Alligator mississippiensis: one gene and its partners. Each later gene encodes a partner of the first gene's protein in a complex. Links are inferred from orthologs where the notes say so. Each region holds a gene or a part of one and is shown in the gene's direction. Other genes may lie near its edges.

The links.
Region 2: the proteins of MYO6 (region 1) and CLTA are in contact, whole or in part, in an NMR structure (PDB 6E5N), measured with the Homo sapiens proteins. The link is inferred for Alligator mississippiensis from reciprocal best matches to the Homo sapiens genes MYO6 and CLTA. Residues at the interface, in NP_001355794.1 of Homo sapiens: Met1053, Thr1054, Pro1055, Met1058, Ala1059, Met1062, Ser1087, Trp1089, Lys1090, Tyr1091, Glu1113, Arg1117, Leu1118, Val1120, Tyr1121, Trp1124, Asn1128; in NP_009027.1 of Homo sapiens: Glu47, Asn48, Glu50, Ala51, Phe52, Ile54, Leu55, Asp56, Gly57, Gly58, Ala59, Pro60, Gly61.
Region 3: the proteins of MYO6 (region 1) and TOM1 are in contact, whole or in part, in a crystal structure (PDB 6J56), measured with the Homo sapiens proteins. The link is inferred for Alligator mississippiensis from reciprocal best matches to the Homo sapiens genes MYO6 and TOM1. Residues at the interface, in NP_001355794.1 of Homo sapiens: Ile1182, Phe1184, Trp1202, Gln1214, Glu1216, His1218, Asp1220, Lys1221, Pro1222, Ile1224, Leu1226, Glu1234, Met1235, Cys1236, Leu1238, Glu1242, Thr1243, Gly1244, Leu1245, Arg1247; in NP_005479.1 of Homo sapiens: Ser440, Glu441, Phe443, Phe446, Leu447, Arg450, Ala451, Ala453, Ala454, Asp455, Leu457, Pro458, Asn459, Leu460, Ser461.

The regions. Positions count from the first base shown.
Region 1 is NC_081824.1:65,992,771-66,000,108, forward strand, and holds the start of MYO6 (unconventional myosin-VI), read left to right. Parts: upstream 1-4,274; 5' UTR 4,275-4,370; intron 4,371-7,338. UniProt on the Homo sapiens protein: Myosins are actin-based motor molecules with ATPase activity. Unconventional myosins serve in intracellular movements. Myosin 6 is a reverse-direction motor protein that moves towards the minus-end of actin filaments.
Region 2 is NC_081826.1:150,237,801-150,245,082, forward strand, and holds the start of CLTA (clathrin light chain A), read left to right. Parts: upstream 1-4,254; 5' UTR 4,255-4,343; coding exon 4,344-4,584; intron 4,585-7,282. UniProt on the Homo sapiens protein: Clathrin is the major protein of the polyhedral coat of coated pits and vesicles.
Region 3 is NC_081827.1:101,669,551-101,676,966, reverse strand, and holds the start of TOM1 (target of Myb1 membrane trafficking protein), read left to right. Parts: upstream 1-4,324; 5' UTR 4,325-4,382; coding exon 4,383-4,434; intron 4,435-7,416.

The DNA.
Region 1 (7,338 bases):
AAACAGGGATTCAGGTGAGAACACAGAGCCCCCTTCCAGCTGGTGCAACAGTCATTGCCTTGAGTTACACACCCTCTGGCTTGTTCTCTTCTGGCCCACACTATCTTCCTTTCTTGGCTGCTCAGGGGGCGAACTTCAAAAGGACCACTGGGGATGCAACCGGATAACACCTAACCTGAGGTGGTTAGGGCACTGCTGAGAAATCAGAGATGAAAGTTCAAACCCTCTCTGGGTGATGGGGACCCATCACCCAGGTCTCCTGCTTCCTGGGTGAGCACCCTAGGCACTCTGCTATTCCATTTATAATTATGGGCTCTGGACAGTTACATTTTTGTGGCTTACGTGTCCAGAAAAGGTTTGCATACACAGGTGCATACCTGCCAGCCAATATGTAACCTACAGCATATGTTCAGTCTAATAAAAGTGAGTACCTATGAGTGGAAACAGATTTTGCTTTTTGTTACACTTGTATCTCCATAAAAATGTTGATGTCTGCCCAAAGGCCAAGCAAACAGACATTAAACCCTTTGCTGTGCCACAAATGCCCAAAATTTATGGCTGCAGCAAGGCGGTATTAATGTATGCCTCTTTATTGCTGGAGTCTGATTTGTGGCAGGAGACTGCCTGCACATCCTAAATGACCTGGGCGAGCGCTCTGTGAGTTTGAGGGACCAGCTCCTGTGCCCCCCAAGAATTCCTGCATGGGATCAGGTCCCTCAAGCCCTGGGAATGCCTGCCTGGCTTTCCTCTCTTACAGGGACCTGGCCCCAGGATCTCTGGGGTACACCTCCCTAGCCAGGGAAAGTTGGGTTTCCTTTACAGAGATGTGCCCCTGGGAAATATTGGGGCCATGTCTCTGTAGGCGGGGAAGCATCCTGTAGGCGGGAAAGCAGACATACGCGGGGCCTCAGGGGCCCAATTCTGCATGGGAATTCCTGAAGTATGTAGGACCAGGCTCCTCAAGTCCTGGGAGAACACGTCACCCATTGTCCCACAGCATCAACAAGTGGGACAATGGGTGATGTATGTCTCACCCAATGAAGTGGATCAGTAGTGCCAGGACACATGCCAGCACAACTCATCCACTTCATTTGGCGACTTCATATTTCTAGCCTCAGCACCCACAGTGCAAGGTAAGAAAATAACAACCTGTACCTAAGTGCTAAAAAGGCTACTTCTATGGCTAGAAAACTGCCAGTCAGGCACACAAAATGTAGTAGAATTTCATCCTTGGTGTCCACTGGCCCACAATCACCCGAGATGGCATCATGCTAGGTAATCACCCAAAGAGAAAAAGATTTGACAAGATGTGTTGTGCACATGGATTCCACGTCTCACCCATGTTCCTCACTACTACCTAGTCCTAATCCTTTGAAATTCTGTTGGAAAAAGACATGAAGGACAGTTGGGTCCACTCTATGCTTAAACCCTCCAGTACAGGGACTAGGTCAAAGATAATCTGTTGTGCAGACGCAGCCTTGATGGACGCTGTTGGGCAGAGGAATCCAGTCCCATGCACATGGAGTGGACAATAGCAATAAACCAACACTATAATACAACACACACATTCAGATGAACAGTGATAAGATCTCACAAAATCTATAGTTGTCCTCCCTCATGGTTCTCCTGGCTTTGGTACTGTGCTCTTAGGATCCTTGAAGGATTTTGATGTGCTTTATTTTCCAAGAAGCTGGGACAGCACTGATGTACTTCTTGCTCCACATGATAGATTATTTTTAGCAAACAGTAAATTCTGGAGACTTTTTTGAAAGAGTTATGTCTACATTTTCCATCTGTACCAAATGTACTTTTTTGGATTTCTTCTTTTGCATGGAAAACAGAATGTGCTTTACTTAATAGGAAGAATATAGTCATGGTATGGTACAGTCATTGGGACTGCTACAATGCATATATTATTCCTGCTTAGATGGCCATTAAGTTCAGTCTCGCTGATGAAAATTTATTTCCTAAAATGACTGTAAAGTAAAAATAGACCTGACCTAAAATCCCAAATTGGCCATCCTGCCCTTATCCATAGTTTTGGAAAAGCTTAACATGATTCAGACTCTCTAGCTTTGGTTCATCTCTTTTATAGATGAAGTTTGAGATGTCTCTTGCTGTTGGTTCCTTGTGTACAGAAAAGGTAAAAGTGAAATACATTTCATCATTTTTAGTTGGTCTAATAAAAGATACTGGATTTACCCAAAGAATGTTGTCTACCATACATTTCATCATGTATTTTATTCCAAGTCACAGAAAAATACCAAGAATAATTCTTACATCCACGTTTTAACTTTGGTGTTCATTTTCCTCTAAATTGCTTTCTTATGAGAAGTTGGCGGACACAGCTGGAGAACAAACTGTATCCTGGATTTTTTTTAGAGCTCCCCAAGAGAAAAGTATAAGACAGATATATTCTTTTTAACCAGGAAGTGGAACCTGAGGTCTTGAAGAAATTCTCTGCAGTGTTACAGCAAACATTTGGATGCACAACATCTTTTCACAAGTGTAATCTATCACAATGTTTATCTGTTTAAAAGGTAACAGCCCTTGATTTAGTCATCTCTTGTAAAGTTCACAAAGAGGAAGTGAAGTATTTCCATTCCAAGCTGCAGTCATTGCCCACAACAATTTTAAGAAATGTGTTTACCTCCAAGTTAAATAAAATTGTCCCTGAAAATGACAAATACATTGAATATCCATAAGGACACAAAGACCAAGGACCAAAGACAAAGGAATATTTATGAGTTATTTTAAAATAATTTGTTCCAAGGTTAATATAAATTTAGGTAATACAAATGATATGGTCAGGTGAAGCTCAGCAGGTCTCTCAGGAGTTTCTCTAAATACTTCCTTCTAAAAATGGTGATAACTGCTAACTTTTTTTTCCTGCTTTAGGATGATGCACCCCAAAGTTCAGCCACTCTAAATTTCAGAGTCTTTATTTGTATAGGGAAAAAAAATCCCTCAGGAAGAACCGAGTAATTTGTATACATTAAATATGTTTGGTTGACCATTTCCTGCCAGGATGTAGCCTATTTCCATGAGGCTTTTTAACTAGTCAGCACATGCTAAATATAACACAGTTTGCCATTCACATTCCCCCCTCCCCAACATAAAAATAATCCTTATCTGGGTGTATGTTCTGCAAACAGAAATCAGGATTAACTACTGTCCTGAAAGGCAATATTTGAAATGGCCGGTATCACACTCCCCTGGTCTAGGAACTCAGAACTGTCACTGGAAAAAACCTGGAATTAGTTTTAAACACCATATGAAGGCATCCGGGAGCATCCAATGAAGGGCAATAGTGGCAAAATGTGGGTTTGAAGAGACCTGGGTGCTTTCTGCCCAAAACTGAACACGTGCCCCCTTGAGTTTGCATGCACATCTGAGCCCCTGGGATGTGACATGCTCTGAACTTGACATGCACCTGCAAACACACCTGAACTTGACACAGCCACCCTCCCCCCCCGAATCTGGTGCACACACACCTACATGTGATGTGTGTGCACCACCCCCCCCCCCCCACCTTGGACACCTCTCCTGAACTTGGCACACACGCCTGCACTCCTGAATCTCACACACCTGAACCTCTCTCTTTCTCTCTCTCTCTCAGGGGTGCAGGTTGTAGCCCTGTTGGTCTAAGGACAGAGTCAAGCAAGGTTCTTTGGGTGAATCTGATATCATTTATTAGACCAACTTAAATAGCTGGAAATTTTTTTTTAGCAAGCTTTCTGGTTTAAAAACCCTTGGTCAGGCTGGGGAAACCTCTGCAGTCAGTGTTGCTTTTCCTGGGTGGATGCAATTCTTTACTATTCATCCCAGCCACCAACTGCAGAGCCTTCCCCAGCCTGACCAAGGGTTTTTTAAACCGGAAAGCTTGCTACAATTGTTTTTTTTTCCAGCTATTTAAGTTGGCCGAATAAAAGATATCAGACTCACCCAAAGCACCTTGTCTCCCTCTTACACCCCCCAACCTGTCTCACAGCCCCCACTCCTGAACCTGTTACACACACGTACGTGTTGGTGTAATAAAAGATACCAGATTCACCCAGAGATCCTTGTCTGCACACACGCACCTCGTGAACTGCACACCTGTGGACCTGTCGCGCACGCATACGCGCTCCCCCTCCCCCCGCCTGTCACGCCCAGCCCTAACCGCGGGAACCCGCCCGCTCGCCCCCGCCTCGGGCCGGCCGCTGGTGCCGGCCGCCCCTCTCCTGCCGGCGGCGCTTCCGGGGCGGGGCCGGGCCGCAGCACCGCCCCCCGCCCCGCCCCGCCCCGCCCCGCTCGCAGCCGGCGCTGACGTGCGCCTGGCCCGTGGAGCAGCAGCGCCCGCCGGACACGGAGCTCAGCAGCGCCCGGCGGTAACTGCGCCCGCGCCCCTTCCTCTCTTCTCCTCTCCCCTCCCCTCCCCGTCCACCCCCTGGGCCGCGGCGCAGCGCAGCGCAGCGCAGCGCGGGCTGCCGCGGGGCCGGGGCGGCAGGGCAGCGGCTGTGACAGCCCCGCGGGTTTGGCTGGGCCAGAAGCGGCGCCGCCTCCGCTCCTTTCCCCGGGGGCCGGCGGGGGCAGCCCGGGGAAGTGCCGCCTGGCCCGAGCCCCGCTCTGCCCCTTGGGGGCTCCCGCGCCCGGCCACGGCAGGGGCGCTTGCACCGAGTCGGGCGCTGCTGCCCTCGCCCCGCCGGGGGGGGGCCTCGTGCCCTGCCCTACCCTGCCCTGCCCCGCGGCCCGCCCGCCCTCCTCCCCGTGCCCGCGGGGCCGAGCGGCAGGCGCGGGGCTCAGGGGTGCAGGGCCTCCCTGGGGACCCCCGGAAGCCGCCCTCCGGTGACTGTTCACCACCTCCTCCTCTGCTAGATAAGTGGGACGATGATAATTAATTTCATAACACGTATTTAATTAATAATACTAGTAGTAATTATCATCATCAGAACTTCCTTACTGCTCGAGGCGGGTATCCTGCCTGCCTTGACAGCAGGGTTGTTGGTTGTAGTCTCCTGGGTCTTAAGGGCAGAGGCAGGCATGGTTGCTTGGGTAGATGTGATCTCTTTTATTAGACCAACTCCAAAGCTGGAAAAACGGTTCTTTGCAAGCCTGAAAGTTGGCAAAGCTTGTAAAGAACCTTTTTCCGACTTTGGAGTTGGTCTGTCTAATAAAAGAGACCGCATCTATCTGGGGACCCTTGCCTGCCTTGACAGCAGCCTTCTGTGGCGTTCGGGTGATGGCTTGTGTGGGATGCTCTGGGCAGGGCTGCCTGCCTCAGGCAGGGGTGAGATGATCAGCCTGAGTTTCTCAACCTGTGGGTCACGACCCAAAAATGGGTCACAAGAATAATGGATCAACATACTTTCAAAAAGGATTCTTCTTTCAAGGAGAAAATCGGGGGAAACTGGCTTTTCCCTTGCAGGTTGGCAGAGTTTCACCCTGCAAGGGGCTGCTTGGGGCACCCCTTACCCCCACATCCCCCTCCCCCACACACTGGGGGAGCTGGGACCTGGGGGCAGGGGAGCACTGGGTTGGGAGTGAGGGGCACTGGGTTGGGACTGGATATCGGTGTTAACAAATGGATCCTGGTACAAAAAAGGTTGCGAACCATTGGACTAGATGACCTCTGGAGGTCCCTTCCAGCCCTGCTTCTCTCTGACTCTTTGTCATCTAAAAGACGACAACTTCTCCATGATGCTGCTGGAGCGTCTGTGTGTGCGTTAATTCGCTTTTCCTAATGCGCATTAAATTTAGTACCGTACCTCCAATGTGAGGTACTAAATAAATGCGTGTTAGGCTAACCAGAGGCACTGTATCGAAAGCAGACATTTTTAAAGTGATATTTAATGCAGTTGTCTATTTTACTGCGCATTAGTGTTATTGCACTTTTTTGTACATGGCACTTTAATGTGCAATAAAATAAACTACTGCACATTAAAGCGTGCGTGTAGACTCACCCAGTGTCATCTAAGATGACAATTCCTTGCTACGGTGCTTTGGGAGAACCTTCCCCTCGCACAGATAACATCAGCCTATGTTAATGCTAAAGTTGCACGAGTTTTCAGTGGTTTGTTGTCTCCCCTTCAGGAGCTGAAGATGCTACTGTGGGGGTTGGGGAGTATAATTTTTTTTTTTTTTAATCCCATTGAAAACTTAATTTCTAAGCACTTCATTTTTAAATAATTGTCAAGCAGGGAAAGGTTTTGTGTGAAGGTTCTTTGCCTTATGCTTACTCAGTCATTGCCTGAAGTTCAGTGCCCAGCATGTCTTGGGTATCATTAATGTTTACATGCTATATGACAGATGCATTCCTAAGCAGTAAGTCCTATAATACCAGAAACCTGTAAAACTTTGTTGTGGCTAAATTAATGGACAGCACAGATTAAATGAAAGGGTGTTTTCTACCTCTCGCGTAGTTTACGTGCTGTTGCTGGTATGCAGCAGCCCTTTTGTTTCTGACCATGGAGCGTATGTGTATGTCATAATTTTAAAATTGGTGCCTTGGGTAGGTCAGGAAGGAAAATAACTTTCTGTGATGTGATCTAATTTCTCTTTGTTTAGCTGAAGTTATTAGGCTGTAAAATGGTCTATGAACTCAGTCTGCAGCAATCAGAGTACAAAGGTTGACAATAGAGCCTAGTTTTCCTTTGTTGCAAATGTCACAAATTAACAGGATGTAAAGAGGTTAAATTCTCGGGTCAAATTCAGCATACAGTTATTTTTCAAGAAAAAAAAAAGGGAAAACGTGTTGCTTTTCTTCTTTAAGCTGTGTGTTTAAAGCTTCTGGAATATTTTCAAAACAAAGTCTTCCTGTGGTATTTGATGAGCATTGCGACACATCTTTACATTGTTTGCCTAAGATGTGAGAATGGAGTGATTGTAGACAAAAGTGAAACTAGTTGACTTATTTGACTTCATTGTATAGACTGGCATAAATGCAAAATAAAAATATTGAAAAGTAAACATTTACTAATCCTTGAAAGTATTTTTACCATGGTAAAAATATAAATTTTAACTTGACCGTATCTTTCAGTACACTTTTTTAAAAAAAAACAGAAATAGGTTAACTAATTACATTTTATAGAACTATAATAGCAGCTTTGTGAAACATAAAAATCTTGAGAATGACTGACTACACTAAGAATAAAGACAATACTATATAATTTGATAGTCTCTGGTTATAATTTTAACTTGTACATCCAGTTTATATTAAATAATTGTATCTAGTATCTTTTTATCTTAAGTTTTTAACAAGGCTTTTGATACTATCCCATTTGACATTCTTACAGGCAGGCTAAGGAATTATGCCTAGATGAGGTGGGTATACACTCAGTTGGAAAATTGCTTTTAATG
Region 2 (7,282 bases), on another chromosome or scaffold:
GATCCTGTTCCTCCCCCCATTCTTAGAATGCGTACCCCCCTGGAACTCACAGCCCTCCATCCCCTTCTCAAAACCCATATCCTTTTGCCCCTGCTCTTGAAACCACTTGTCTCCCCTTCCCTTTCTTCCCTTCCCCTCCACTTCCTCCCAGGTTTTGCCAAGGCAGCAACTCTGCCTTTTACGCCACTGGTTTCTGTTAATAAGTATTACTCTAACCAGTCTTTACAAAGTTTCCCCCTTGGTGTGAAGTATAGCCAGTGTGTTATGGATGAATTAACACACCTGCCACAGCTGTTACAGCTTCATAAACAATAAAACCAACATCAGCAAAGGAAATGGAATCACTTATCTTTGGGAAGGATACCTTGGTTGTTATGCAAAACATTTCAAGGTGCACCTGAATTCTAGATTACTCAAGTCATATCTTTCCACCCAGGGAACATGCCAAATCATTACATAAGAAGTTTCTTCTCAACCTTCCTTGAAGAGTCAGTTTTTATACCAGGGATTAATTTGACCCATTCTGATGTAAATGATGTAGAAATTGTTCTGCATTCTGAATTTGAAAGCTATTCAGAGACTCAGTAGTATCCTATGGCTAGGATCCTATTTTAGCCAATTCTGCTTATATTTCACATTTCTCCTTTCCTATTCTCTGCTAATATTCTTAAGAATTCTTTTCCTGAAGCTGACTCCTCATTTCAGTTCATAATGTGATGTTGCAGTCACTTCCACAGAAACACACTGTGGCACTGAGCCAGCAAGGAGGGGTAGCGGGGAAACAGAAGAGAGATGGAGAGACCGGAAGCTGGTAAGTGCTTTGTGTCACTTAACTAAGGGTGCTGTTACAGGTTATATTTAAGCCATTCTGAATCTGGAATGTTAGGTCATCTTAAAGTAAGAGTAGTTTCAGAGCAGCCACAGGTTCAAGCTTAATGACATCGCAGACACGCACAAATGTGACTTGCCACTAAAGGGCCTGATGACCAAGGGCATGGACTCTTTATTGGGTGTGAGACAAAGCGGGAGGGTGGCATGTAGCTTGGAAACTAGCATGGGGGCTGTGGCTTCCCTCCCTCCACAGCAGCAGGAACCAAGCTGGAACCATGAGTGGGAGGAAAGAAATATTGAAAAACTGTTGGAAATGAAAGGAAAGGGGAGAAGTAAAGAGGAAGAAGCGAAAAAGAATAATAATAAAAAAAACCCTAAATCTTGCATGTGTCAATGAATTGGGATTGGGTCAAGTGGTGGTGGTGGGGAGTTGGGTTAGGGGTGGCAAGTTTCATGCTGCATGAGATGGAGGAACTGTCCTGGCTTGGGCGGGCTGTGCGGGGAAGGCATAGCCAGGGCATAGGGCTGAGAACAAGCATGCTTGCTGCATGACGCAGAGCACGTGTGGGGCTTGTGGGGCCAGGGAAACTGAGGCATGATGAAGTGGCCAGCTGGCAGTGGTGGGGAGGGGGGACTGAGTGGTGTGGTGGAGGGGAGGCACAGCCATGGGTTGTGGTGCCAGTGGGGAAGGGAGGGGGCTGGTATAGCAAGGAAGGAGGGAAGGAGACCCCTCTGCATCAGACCACCTTGGTCTCCTTAAAACCTTTAAGATTATGTAAAGCATTATGTAATTATTTAAAGCATTTTTAGTTGAAACAAACTAAAAAAATAAAGATGTTTTCATGTGTTAATGAACCGTGGGTGGTGGAAAGGGCTGGTCCCCCGGGAGTTCCCTGGCTCAGCCCAGCCAGCTGGCCCTATGCTAGCCTTCTCTGGGGAAAGCGGGGGGGGGGGGGGCAGATTGAGTTGGGTGGAGTGGGGTCATGCAGCCTGGGAGCAGGGTTGCTGAGACATGAGGGGTCATATCTTCCCATCCTGGCTGGGAGGATTGTCCTGGCAAGCCCCAGGTGCCTACAACAAGCCCTGCTGAGCCCCCCAGTTCCATCCCAGGTGGGAGAGTTTAGATGGGCCCAAGCTTCTCTCCCTTCTCCCCAAGTCCTCTATGGTCCCGTCACAACCTAGGAGGGAGGGAGCTGGTGTGCACCAAGTCAGTGAGCTTAGGTGACTGGCTCCAGGCCAGCTGTTTGCAAAGAGCTCTACAAAACCGGACTTCAGTCCCTAACCCCATCCCCATCCCTCCAAGCCATGGGTGGGCAATTATTTTGGGCGGAGGGCCGCTTATTGAGTTTGGGCAAGCCATCGAGGGCTGCATGACAGGCAGCCCGGGGCAGATAATTATTAATTTTCTAAATTTTTTAGGGGTCCCACGGGCCAGATAGAATGGCCTGGTGGGCTGTATCTGGCCCGTGGGCCGCATTTTGCCCACCCATGCTCCAAGCTTTGCTCAGGCCTGCCTGTGCCTTTAAACTGGACACAAAGTGTGGGAAAATTTCAATTAAGCTCAGTTTACTTGAGGTCAGTTGAAATTTTCCCACACCTACCTGGCCCTTTTCCCCTGTTCTCTCTTAGCCAGTCAGGTAGTGGGAGTAGAGTGGGGGGACAGCTTTCCTCAAGCCCCCTCCAAGTCTTGACCCAAGTAAAGAAGAATACGGGAAGGAAGCTCGATAGCGTGGGTCCAGGGAGTCATGCTTCCCTGGCACCAGAGATAAGCCCCAGCAGCAAGGAGCAGAGCTGCTGTAGGGAGAAAACACGGAATACAGGGAGGCATGTTTCCCCGGGCCCTAGTCTCACTGCAGTTACCTCCTGGCACCTCCACCCCCAGTGCAGAACTGCCAGCTGGGAGACCAGCGGAGGTTTGGAAGGTGGAAAGGGGTAAAGATGCTGGGAGCTGTGCTTCCTGAGATGCTGGAAGACTACAAATTGATGGCTTTATCTCTATGGAGCAGCCTAACACCTTATCTCCATCTGGGTCGAACAGCTCAAAAATAACCCTCATCCCAACTGGTAACGTTTAAAATGCTTATAGAATAGGTTAACACCCTTTCATGCATGAGTATTCCCATTTTAAGTGCCTTGAGAATAGTTTAAAGGTAACCTTTAAACCCACCCAAAAAGAAGTGACTAAGACCGTGGCTTTCAGCTGGGATGCCACAAGAAGTTGCCCATGGTGCTGTGAAGCTGGCACTGCTGGTGCCACCACTGCAGGGTGAAACTGGCCGGCATGCCTTGGTTTTCAGGAAGCATGTTGGGATCAGGAAGAGCTGTAACAGAAGTGGTGTACAGGCCCCCACAATGTAATACACGAAGGTGCACCTTTCTGGTGCAGCTGTGTCTCAGTTCAGCTCCAACGTGCTTCCTGAAAACAGGTGCGGGGGACAGTTTCATTTGCCCCAGACACCTCTTTCCAGGAGACACCATGCAAGGTCTGACCAGGCAGCACATGCTCCTGCCACAGCTGCTTCCCAATCTGGCTCTCCAAGAGGCGCACAGTGCAGTTCCACCTGGCCAGGGCAAGGGTGGCAGTGACAGCACTGTGGTACCCCGGTGGCCTGCCCCCTTCCCCACCCTGGCCTTGTGTGTGTTTTTGTCCACCTCCTTCCCCTCTCGCCTCCCCAGTGCTCCCCACATGCTCTGAGCACAGCCCAGCATCTGGTCCTCGGACTGTCCCTTATGTTCCCAGGGTTCAATATTAATAACATGAATTATTAATAGCCGGATGCCGTTAACATTCATAATACAGCGTTAGTTTTTTTAAATGGGGTTCTGCAAATTCGGGCAGGTTTTGGAGGGCTGCCTGGAGCCTAAAAAGGTTGAGAACCACTGATAGTGCACTTGTTTTATTTAGATCCCAGTCAGCATCACCATGTTGTGATCAGTCCGAGGTAATGCTTACTGCCGTCCCCCAATCTGGGCCTGTGCTGCCGGCAACGGGAGGAGGGAGACACGCGGAGGTCACCCCAGGAGAGGGTGCTGCTCCTGTCCCAGGACCTGGGCTGGTTTGAGAGCAGTGCTGGGGCCCAAGCTCAGGCCTGGAAACCTCTGACCGGGGTCGCGGCAGCACAAGGCCCCAGCCCGGACCCGGCCGCCCCTGGGACTCCCACGTAGCCCCCGGGCCCAGACACCACCGCACGGGAGGGGAGGGGAGGGGAGGGGAGGGGGAATGGAACGGAGCGGAGCGCGCTGATTGGCCTCATCCCACCCTGACTCATCCCTGCTCCCCCAGTGGGGGGGTGGTGTCACATGAGGACCCCGCTGTCCCCGCCTCCCTCCTCGCTCTGATTGGCTGCGCTGGCCCGCATGGCTTCACGTTCATTGGTGGTCATCCCCGTCAGCTCTCGCCGCGCCCGTGCCCAGCGGCATTTCCGGGCAAGCCGGGGACGCGGCCTGGGACCGGAAGTGGGCTTTGCTCGCGTGCCATCCGTTGCCTCCCGCTCGCGCCCCGCTTCGCCGCCATGGCTGAGTTCGACCTGTTCAGCGCGCCGCTCGCCCCGCAGCCTCCCGCCCCCGGCTTGGGGGGCGACGGCCCCGGTCTGGGCAACGGGCCGCTGGGCGCCGCCGAGGAAGACCCGGCCGCCGCCTTCCTGGCGCAGCAGGAGAACGAGATCGCGGGCATCGAGAACGACGAGGGCTACAGCGTCCTGGAGAATGGCGACGTGCCCACCGGCCTGCAGGGCCCCGACGGGCCCGGCCCAGGTACGCCCGGCCGGGGGAGGAGGGGAGGCTTGTGGAAGCGGGTCGCGCCCCCACCCTGCCCGGCCGCCGGCACGCGTCGGATTCCTGAGCGCTCTCGCCGGCTCTTGTTTGGTACAAACACGTCCTCGCTCGCTTCTCGCAGGATCCGTTGCCCTTGTTCTGACCTGGGAGCCAGGCACTGCCGCTTGGGACCCCTCTCTGCCTCCGGGCTCTTGCCTTGTTCTGTTCCAGACCTTGTTTTGATGTCTGGTGACTGTTTGCATCCAGCCAGGCCCAAGCTCGAGCTTTGTAGGATGAAAGATGGGTATATGGGGGTGCAGTTGTCCTTTCACTGTCTCTCTCTCTTTTTTTTTTTTTTTTTTTTTTTTTTCCTGCTTAAAGCTGGAGTTTAGAGCAATAATACCCTGTTTTGAGACTTTGATTCTGGCCTTGCTTCCTTCAGAGTTGAGTAACTGAAATAATCTTGTAAGACTCCTCTGAGTTGTAGGACTTGCAAGTCTGCTCCTGTGGAGCATGCCTAAAGCTGGTGGCTTCACTCTGAGGGCTAAACCAAAGCTGAGCCCCGCAAAGTGGCACCAAATCGTCTCCTGTTGTATCTAGGCTCACTGGAGATGAGACTGAAGGCTGTGGTGGGGATATTTCATTAAAACATGCTGGCAATCGGGCTAATGCTCTTCTGTGGAGGCTTTAGTCACTGTCTTTAGCAAACTTCATCTTCTTCATCTCCCCTCCCCCCCCCCCCAACTTTGCCAAACACATTCCATTCTTCTTTAAGGCAGGTGCTAAGAGAAAATATTCAGCCTGTTGTTATGTCTAGAAATTGACCTGTAATCAAAGCAGCCTTAAAAATGATGTGAAGTTTCAATGTTGTTGGCTATAGCCATGTTGGCCTAAGGACATAGGCAGGCAAGGTTCTTTGGTTAGATGTGATTATTTTTTTTATTAGGCCAACTAGATGTTTGCAAAGAACATTTTTTTTCCAACTTTTTAGGCAGAAACACCCGATAACACTATAGCTATGCTTACAGCTTCTCTATATGAGGGATGTTCCTCTTGACTGAGTTCTGTCAATCCGAGTACTTGATGAACTGTTTGGAACATGCACTTGCATTTCATTTTGATCCTGGCTAAGCCTGTCGGTTTGGTCGTCCTCGCTGCTCCCCAGCATTCCAGAGAACCTGCTGCTTGTTACCATAACTAAGTTTTGAATAGCTTCTGTCTTGCCGAACACTTCATTTTGAGGTGTAGGTTCAAGATGCCTCATCTCTTCTGCACGTATTTCAAGTTGGAAGGAAAGATCAATCTTCTACTGAAAAAAGTTTGCAAATGGGAGTTGTGGTCCCTAAACTGAAGTGTCTTGCAGAATGCTGCAAGGGTGAAGAGGTAGATGGCAACAATCTGAAGCTCCCAGATCTAAAATTCAGTGGTGATCGTCTTGTCCTCAAAGGCTGCTTTTCCAGTAAGCATGGTGTAATCCTTCAGTCTCAAAGTTCATAGCTATGTATGGAGTTGCTAGTCCAGAATATTGCTTGCATAATTAGAGAGATGTCTTATGGGGGAGTAACTTCCTTAGTTTTTTGTTTGGACCTGATAGCTTATCAGAAACCCATCCTGTACTGATACCAATTACTGACTGGCTTCATAAAGAGCAGCAGATGCTGACTGAATTGAACTTTTTAAACCAAGCTCGAGGTGGGGGGGTGTATGTTTTGGTTGTGGCTTTTTTTTTGTGTGTGTAGCTTCTTTGTTTTTGTTTTGTTTTTCTTACAATAAAGTCCTCTGGTGGCAGGCGGGCAGGGGGGAATGCCCCAGTATGTCACCTGTGATATGGCCTTCTTTTGCAGTGGGACAGTTCTGAAACCAGCTCAATCAGCCCTTGCTCTGTAGTGTGGCTGCCTAACTGTGGATCCTTACCTAATTCTAAACTTTGCAAAACTAATTTGGCTTAATATCCAAAGCTAGTTCTCATTGTTTTGTATGGTGTTCATAGTCTTAATTGGTAGATCACTCAGATACAGTAAATGTCTTATGGTCACCTTAGTTGCTCTTCAAAATTAAACGGCACACATGCATGTCTTAGCTTCATGTATGGTAATCTCCTTGACTGTAAATTTCCACCTAAGCTCTTCACTTAATATTTATATATACCAGCAACCTGTTTTAATACATAATGCAATTTTGTAAGACCTTTGTTATCAGGGTTTTCCTCTTAAAATAATCCCATTGTGCTTCAGAAAAGCACAGGCTTTCAGCTGGATAGTTGCAGTTCGTTGTGATGTCTCTGTCTTCTGAAGCAGTGTGGTTGTCGTCTTCTCTTCCCCAAAGGGTGGGGGGAAGCTTATAATCTCCTAGTTCTAGGATAAAACTTTATAAAATGTTGTTGGAGTTAAATTTGGTTCCAGTGCATTTATTAAGTATCTTGTATTTAACATGACAAAGCTAGCTAACTAAATGCAGGCAGATGGCCTCCTGAACCCTGTTTACCTCCCAAATCCTGAAGCTCTGCATCAGGGGATTTAAGGATTTACTTTTTTTTTTAAAACCTTTAACCTTTTTGAACTGCGTCATACATAAATAATGCTACATTGCATGAGTTTTTGTATACCAAAGCAGGATAAAGATCTTTAAATAACTGTTTTAAAGAAATCTATTTATCTAAATTTTTGTTGCATGTGCCCAACATGGGTTACCAGTTTAT
Region 3 (7,416 bases), on another chromosome or scaffold:
GAAAGCACTTGATTCTCACATAGGCTTGTGTGTATGTGTGCGTGGTGTCCATATTGTGTATTTAACTTTTACCAATATCTGTAATAGATTTTAATTTATCCTGTATATTTCTGTGTATATAGATATAATTTAAAAACAAAAGTCCTTCCCTCCACCAAGTGTGTGGAAAATATGAATCAGCTGTGCCCATCCCTAGTTCCTGCAGGAATAAGCTGCATCTGTTATGGCAAAGCTAGGCTCTGCAAGGGGGAATAGCAGCCAACAAAACTTTGAGCCCTTGTGGCCAACAGGGTGTCCAGTGATGTTGGGTGGAAGCTGAAATGGGAAGCCTTTTATTTTGGCTTTGGCCTCGCCCTCCATTATAACATTACAGATGTTAAAGTAGCAGAATCAGAGCACTTCTGTGCTGTTACAAATTGTGCTTTCTCTCTTTTCCAGGGCAGCTGAAAATGAGCTGTTCCTCATTATTGCTGAGACCTAAATCTATTTCATTTTAAAGCCAATCTTCAGGTGCCTGGAAGGGGCTTCCTGCCAGTTTCCTTCCCAGCTACTGTCTCTTGCAGAGCTTCCCCTTTTCCCAGTTCAGTGTTGCTTTTATTTGTCTATCAGAAGGGCTGGTTTGGTGGATGGAACAGGACTCTTTCAGAACCTCAGTATAAGGCAGAAATCTCTCACCCAGATATGGCTAATTTGAAGCAGAATTTGAGGGAGCTTGGAGATATGGGAAAGTCTGTCTGGCTTCTGGATCTGGACATTTACCATGGTTCTTGCAAGTGGCATAAAATGCTTGGCTCCATTTCCAGCTCTCCACAAGAGATGGAGTATTGTATCAAAGAAAAAGATTTGCAGATCTCTATCTAAGGAACAGAAGGGGATCAGCTTTAGCTTTACCATCTGTATAACAGTAAACTCTTGAAGAGTTTAGAAACACACACACAACCCTAATGTATTGTATTTTTATTTAAAATTTGTACACATTTGTATAATCTGTATCTTGTGGTATTTGGTACTAGAGGGAAAAACTTTGGACTGAGAACTAGCAGTTTTTATATTTTTGTTATTTTCCTGCCATTTGATCCAGATTGCATTACAATTGTATAAAGAAACTTTTTGTACTGTACTTACAATATAATTTTTTTTAACATTTGGAGTTTTGTGTCATTTATTTTTTTGCTTGGTATTTGTAATTTGCTGGTTGTCACTTCCCTCACTACTCTAGCTGTCCTAGCATTTCGTTTTATGGAATGAAATGTCTCTGGTATTTGAAATCTAGACCCATCCTGTGGTTCTTGGCTGGGTACTTCAGTGTCTTATTTCTAATGAAAGGCTGCTTGAAATACAACTTGGAGATTACTGAGTTGTACCATTTAGCAGCCTCAGTAAAAGACCTGCATGACTACAGAGGGTTGTCACTTAAATGCCCTAGTACCAGGTTATCTGCCTGCCCCTCTCCTTGTTTACCATTCAGTGAATGGCAGGCAAAATGATACAAGTGTTTCAGGATCCCTCAGCAATGGCAGGATCACATCTTGTAATACTCTTTCAAAACACCCTATTTTCAAGAGCAGAGAGACTCAGTTATAGGCTCAAAACTTCTGTGTAGCAATGTCCCAATATATGATGATCATGCAAAATGTGATTCCTCACCAACTCAAGTTGCACTTTTTGTAAGGAGACATTTCAACACAAGTTCAAAGGAAAATAACGTTATAACCAGGAAACACCTACCCACAACCATTTCAACACATTTAAGCAGTAGTTTTCCTGGAATTCTTCATTGTAAGGACTACAGACTTTCAGGCCCCATTTCAGGCTCACCTCATGCAACATGCTTGTTTACTACTTAGACATGGTATCAGCTTATTTGAAACCATGGAAGTGGGGGTCTTAGGCTTGCTAGTGCAGTCGCCATTGCAAAAATGGTAGCTTTTCCATTGCTTTTTCAGCTGTCCCTATCCCCACTATTGTGACCACAACAGAGCTAACAAGCCAGGCTAATCACAGAGGCAGAAGAACCAGTGTTCAGTCCATCTTACAGAGGCTGCAGCGTGAGCTAACACAATCTGCACAAATGGAAGCAATGTGGAATTGGACTTTGCCATTTGGAGTAGGCAGCTTTGTCAAAATGAGGATTGGTACTTGGTAATGGCCTTGGTGCTCTTAACAGACCTATTACATGTGCAACATTACAGCAAGGGGCACATTTTCTGGAAGTTCTTACTGGTGTTGTTGCAACTTGCAGTATTTCTCCTATGGAAGAATTGCTAGAGAGAGAGGGTTTTTTTTGTCCCTGGTCCCTTCCTGCCAAGGATTCGCAAGTAGAGGTGACAACTGGTACTGCTAAGGAGGTGTGGTGGTGGGGGATGGTACTACCAATAATGTGGGCCATGGTGGGAAGGGGTGTAAAGGCCATATCCTCTCTTGCCTGAGATTTCCCAGTGGCCAGAGAAAAGGCTATGATGACACATTGAAGGCACACCCTAAGCAAATAGATGCTGACATCAAGAGCCCCAGCTGACTGTCAACTGGAGCTGACTGTCAACTGACTCCTCAGCCTCAACCAAGCACTAGTCTGTTTCGATGGAAGAGAGGGAGTGGGGGAAGGAAAAGGAGGAGAGGAATCCTAGCCTGCAGCCTCCTCTCAGCTGCTGAAAGGCCTGCGCTGACTGTAGTTGACTCTGTGGCTCAAGGACCAGACTCTGCAAGCAGCTTGGGCTCCACAGTAGAGGCCTGCCCAGAGCTGGGGCCAGCTGAACAAAATGGCTTTGCGTGCTGTGCTCTGGCACGTGCTGGGGGTTGCAAACTGCTAGACTAGATGATCTCTTAAGATCCTTTTCAGCTTTACTTCTCTCTGCCATCTGTCTCCTGGGAACAGTGTTACCAGGTCTTAAATATGAAAATATTGTATTGGAAGCTCAAAATGATTGTATTTTCAGAAAAACTGTCATACACTGAAAAAATTTAAGTATACAACTAAGTAACATCATGTTGCCTTATACCAGGGGCAAGCGGTTATTTTGGGCAGAGGGCCACTTACTGAGTTTTGGCAGGCAATCGAGGGCTGCATGACAGGCAGCCTAGGGCAGATTAATATTAATTTTCTAAATTTTTTAGGGGCCCCACGGGTTGGATAGAATGGCCTGGCAGGCCACATCTGGCTCCCGGGCCGCATTTTGCCCACTCCTGCCTTATACTGGTATCATTGCATCCTGCACTGCACTTGACACTATGACATTTTGTTTAACTCTTTCTCCAACTGGTTAAACTGAATTGATTGCTATGATTAGTCTTTTCTCTCTGTTTTGTGTTTCAGGTCTATGTATTGTAAATTGTTCTGCAGTTACTTCATATTGCTCACTGGAAGTCCCCAGTGAGTGAGAACTGGGTCATCAAAATTGAAGTTTTGAGGCAAGCAGGCATAAGCAATTGCTGAGCATGAACCCAGAAGTTGGTTAAGATTCCCTGAGAGCAGGGTTGCCAACAGTTTGGATCTATTCTGGGAGGCTTTTGGAACACCAACATGCCCACAACACAACACGCATTTGCCCGCATGCTTGTGTATGTCAGTTATGGATTACAGTGTGTAGATTTTACATCAGGAAGGCAAATGCACATGACTAGTACATTTTAAAATCCCACTGTATAAATTGGATTCAACACTTTAACGAATGCCCTATCATTTATCTCCTGGGTGACTCTCAGCAGTCTCCTGGAGATTCGTGTCCAATTCCTGGGGACTCCAGAGCAATCCTGGAGGGTTGGCAACCCTACCGGAGAGTGACTTGCGTTTTATAGATGCTGCATCAATTAACTGCATCAAAAGCTATTGCACATTTTGTCAGGTATCCCAGTCGTAGCCCTATTGGTCTAGAGGCAAAAGGAATCAAAACTCGTGGAAGAGGTGGTATCTTTTATTAGGCCAACTAGATATGTGCAAATAAATACATTTTGAACACTTTTAGCCATGCAGGATGCGTAGGGGTGCATATGCACCCCCTGAGATTGGGTGCTCACCATGCCCCCCAGCCCTCTGGGCTAGCCAGTCAGGGCCGCCCCCTGCAGGCTGCCATCTGTTGCCAGGCCCACTAAGGGAGCCTGCAGAGCGTAAGGAAATGTCCCCCCTCCCCCGCCCCATCAGGCCCCTCCCTGTCCATACAGGGAGCCGGGAAGTGCCACGCGCCTGTGACGTCACGGCAGGCGCAGTGGCGTCACCACTCCGCTTAAGGCGAGCGGAGAACGTACTCAACCGGGGTCTCGCCCTCCAGCCAATCACAAGCGGCCGCCGCTGACGTCACAGGTGGCCGGGCCCTCAGCTCCACCCCGCGACGCTCACGTGACGGGCGCTGGCGGTCAGCTGACTGCCGAGGTGCGCGGCGGCCGCGATGGAGTTTCTCCTGGGAAACCCGTTCAGCTCCCCCGTGGGGCAGCGCATCGGTGAGTGTGGCCCCCAAGCCCCCCCCCCCCCCACGACGTCCTTGACATTTGGACTCGTCCACTAGCCGGCCCGACCCCGACCCCGCCCCCTCCCCCAGAAAGTGACCGCGCTAGCCGCCGAGTAGGTGCGTGGTAGGGGGAGTGGGGTGGGACTTACTCCCTCTTTAAGGCGGGGTTGACGCGACTTCAGCCAATGGGGAAGTGACGGTGCTTTGATTGACGGCGCTCTGCCACCAATAGGGAGGGGCCAGAGACGTGGAACCGTGGCGGCCGCCCTCCCAGCTAATCCCTACGCGAGGGGGTCGCGGGCGGCGGAGAAAGTTTCCCGCATTAAAGGTGCCGCGACCTGAGCCCCGCCCCCTGCGGGCAGGCGGGGCAGTAATTGCCTGCTTGACATCCGTCCCTCCCCCTGGCTTTCTTTGGCCAGAAGCTGCTCCCTGATTGGCTGGGGAGGCATGGGGTGTCCCTGGAGGAAGGGAGGTGGGGTGGGTACCCTTGGGTGCAGGCTGCACCTCGCTCTCAGTATGGAGCAGGGCCCTGCACTCTTGCTTCTAGGTTTTAGGCTACCCCCAAGGCATTGGCTTCTTGCAGATCCAGAACCAGCTGCTGGGCGCAGAGGTGGGTGGCGTATCCATTGCCTGGCATTGGAGCAGTGCCATGTATCCCCCCAGCCCTGGCAACAGAAACCCTTCCCCAGAGCGCTGTCTCCCCTGCTAGTGCCCCCTGCCTCCAGCAGCTCCTCACAGAGTTACCCCTTAGGCAGGGAAGCTTCTGCAAAACCCAGGGAAATCGGGCCAGACTGGACATGTGTCCGTCGTGTCATCGGTTTGGCACAGATCAGCGTTATAATGCAGATGCCATGGCCCTGCGCTGCACAGCTTCTGGCCAGGATTGATTTCTGCTACCAGCGCTAGGCACCTGCCTCAGCTTTTTGCAGGATTGGGGGTTTGTTTTATTGCAGGGTGGATTTACCACCATGTTGGGTTTTTTTAGGAAGATGACCCCTCATTATCCCCTGCCCCATGAAGGCTGTAGTAAGGCAGGGAGTCAGAGCTACCAGTTAAGCCCAAAAACGTGGAGGGAGCATGATTGGGCCTAATCCGAGACCTTGCACAACTTTAGAGAACAACGTTCCCTGTCGTCATATTAGTCATTTAACCTGAGAGAAGAGCGGGGAGGTACTGCTCTAAAGAGAAGGGGCACAAAGAAACTGTAGACAAGAATGGAAAATTGTTTTGGAGCTGAAATACAAAAAAGGGTAGGAGAGACGGGGCAGGGAGCGGGGTGCTCCCAGGAAGTTTTAAAAGGGGTTAGGTACTATTTTCTCCTATGGTTCTCTATGTATGGTCTTTCTACATATCGTGTGTGTGTGTGTGAAATAGGAATTAGGTTTTCAGAGACTTTGTCTTTCTGACAGCTGCCTTGATTGCTGGTCCTCTCTCTCTCTCTCAGCCTTTCTGTTCCACAGTGTTTTGGGTCAGATTGCCTCTTGCAGACATTGACTGTCTGAAGCCACTGGATAACTGAACCAACGACAAGCAGAGTGCATGTTCATCACAGAAATCGTCGACCGGCAGCCTCTCCTGTACACATGGACCACCTGTGTTCCTTTCCCCATAGAGCATTTGTGTACATTCCTCCTTTACAGCTGTTCCCCACCAGCCCTTTTCTCTCTTCTCTTCTCTTCTCTTCTCTTCTCTTCTCTTCTCTTCTCGGCTTTCCCCAGTGACCAAAACCCTCTGTTACCCATCTTCCTAACCAACCAAAAGTTTCCAGTGGGCTTCCTAGTCCTGCCTTGCCATGACGTTCTGTCCTAATCAGCTTCTTACTCAGACCTCATTACTGTAATATCTGAATGCCATCTAGTAGCAACATGACTAACATTAGTCATAGGTTTGGTCTCATCCTCTCCCAGTGGGGGAGAAGTCTGTGCTGTGAAGCATATTTGGAACTGTGCACATGTCCCCAGGCATGCACTCATATTGCTAGTGTTGAGCACCCAGGCAGTTGTCATGTTTTTACACCTCAAAAGTGTTGTTCTCCCTGCCCCCACATTCATTTTTTTGTGAGTGCGACTCATTTCAAAGAGACCAAAGAATGACACAAGCTATATTAATAGAGCAGTGCTGGACACTGGGAGGATGGGCAGCAGCTGGGCATGCAGCTTGCAACCCATTAATGTGGGGGGAAAGGATCAGTTTGGCTTAATCGTATAAGGGCATGTTCCTTCAGGGATGAAAAGGTGTGTGTGATTTTTATTTTTGTATTTGTTTCATCCATGCAGACAGGCTCTGTTTAGTGGAGGAGCGTTCTCACAGATGCTTCTAGTGTAAATGGCCGTTGCTTCCTGGAGTGAATGGAATTTGGTCTGGTTTGCTTTTTTTACTCGCTTCTAGATGCTGGTGGTTTCCACTCCCTTCCCTACCCCTAGATATTTTGATCAGAAGAGTACCCAGATTGTAAGCAGCTTCTCTCTGCTCATGATGGAAAAAACGGTTTGCAGCTGACCGCCAGCAACAAAGGGGAAGAGGTCAGAGTAGTCAGGGCTGGTAACGGAAGAATCGGAGAGGAGAGCCCAGTGTTGGCAGTGCCTTGCATGCGTCAGATGGAGAAGAAGGGTTATGAGAGCCCACAAGAGTGGAAGCCTCGTAGACAGTAAGGAAGAAGGTGGGCTGCACCTGGTTGTGAGTTATCAGAAGTGATGGGGATACAGCAAGGAACCATTCATGGGAGTGCTTTCCCTCTTTGGAGTTCTGCCTAGCAAAATTCTTGTGACAAGAATAAATATTATTAACCTCACCTGACAGATGAGTGGACCCAAGGCACAGAGAGTGGCTTCCCCAGAGTCTCATGGCAGATCAGTGCTCTGGATACAGACCCCAACTCCACAGTGGAGCCCCAAAGTCTTGACCAATTTAAAGCCACGGTTTCAGGCTGTCTGCAGCCTCTGAAGGCTAATCATGCAATTTCCTAAAGGGCAAC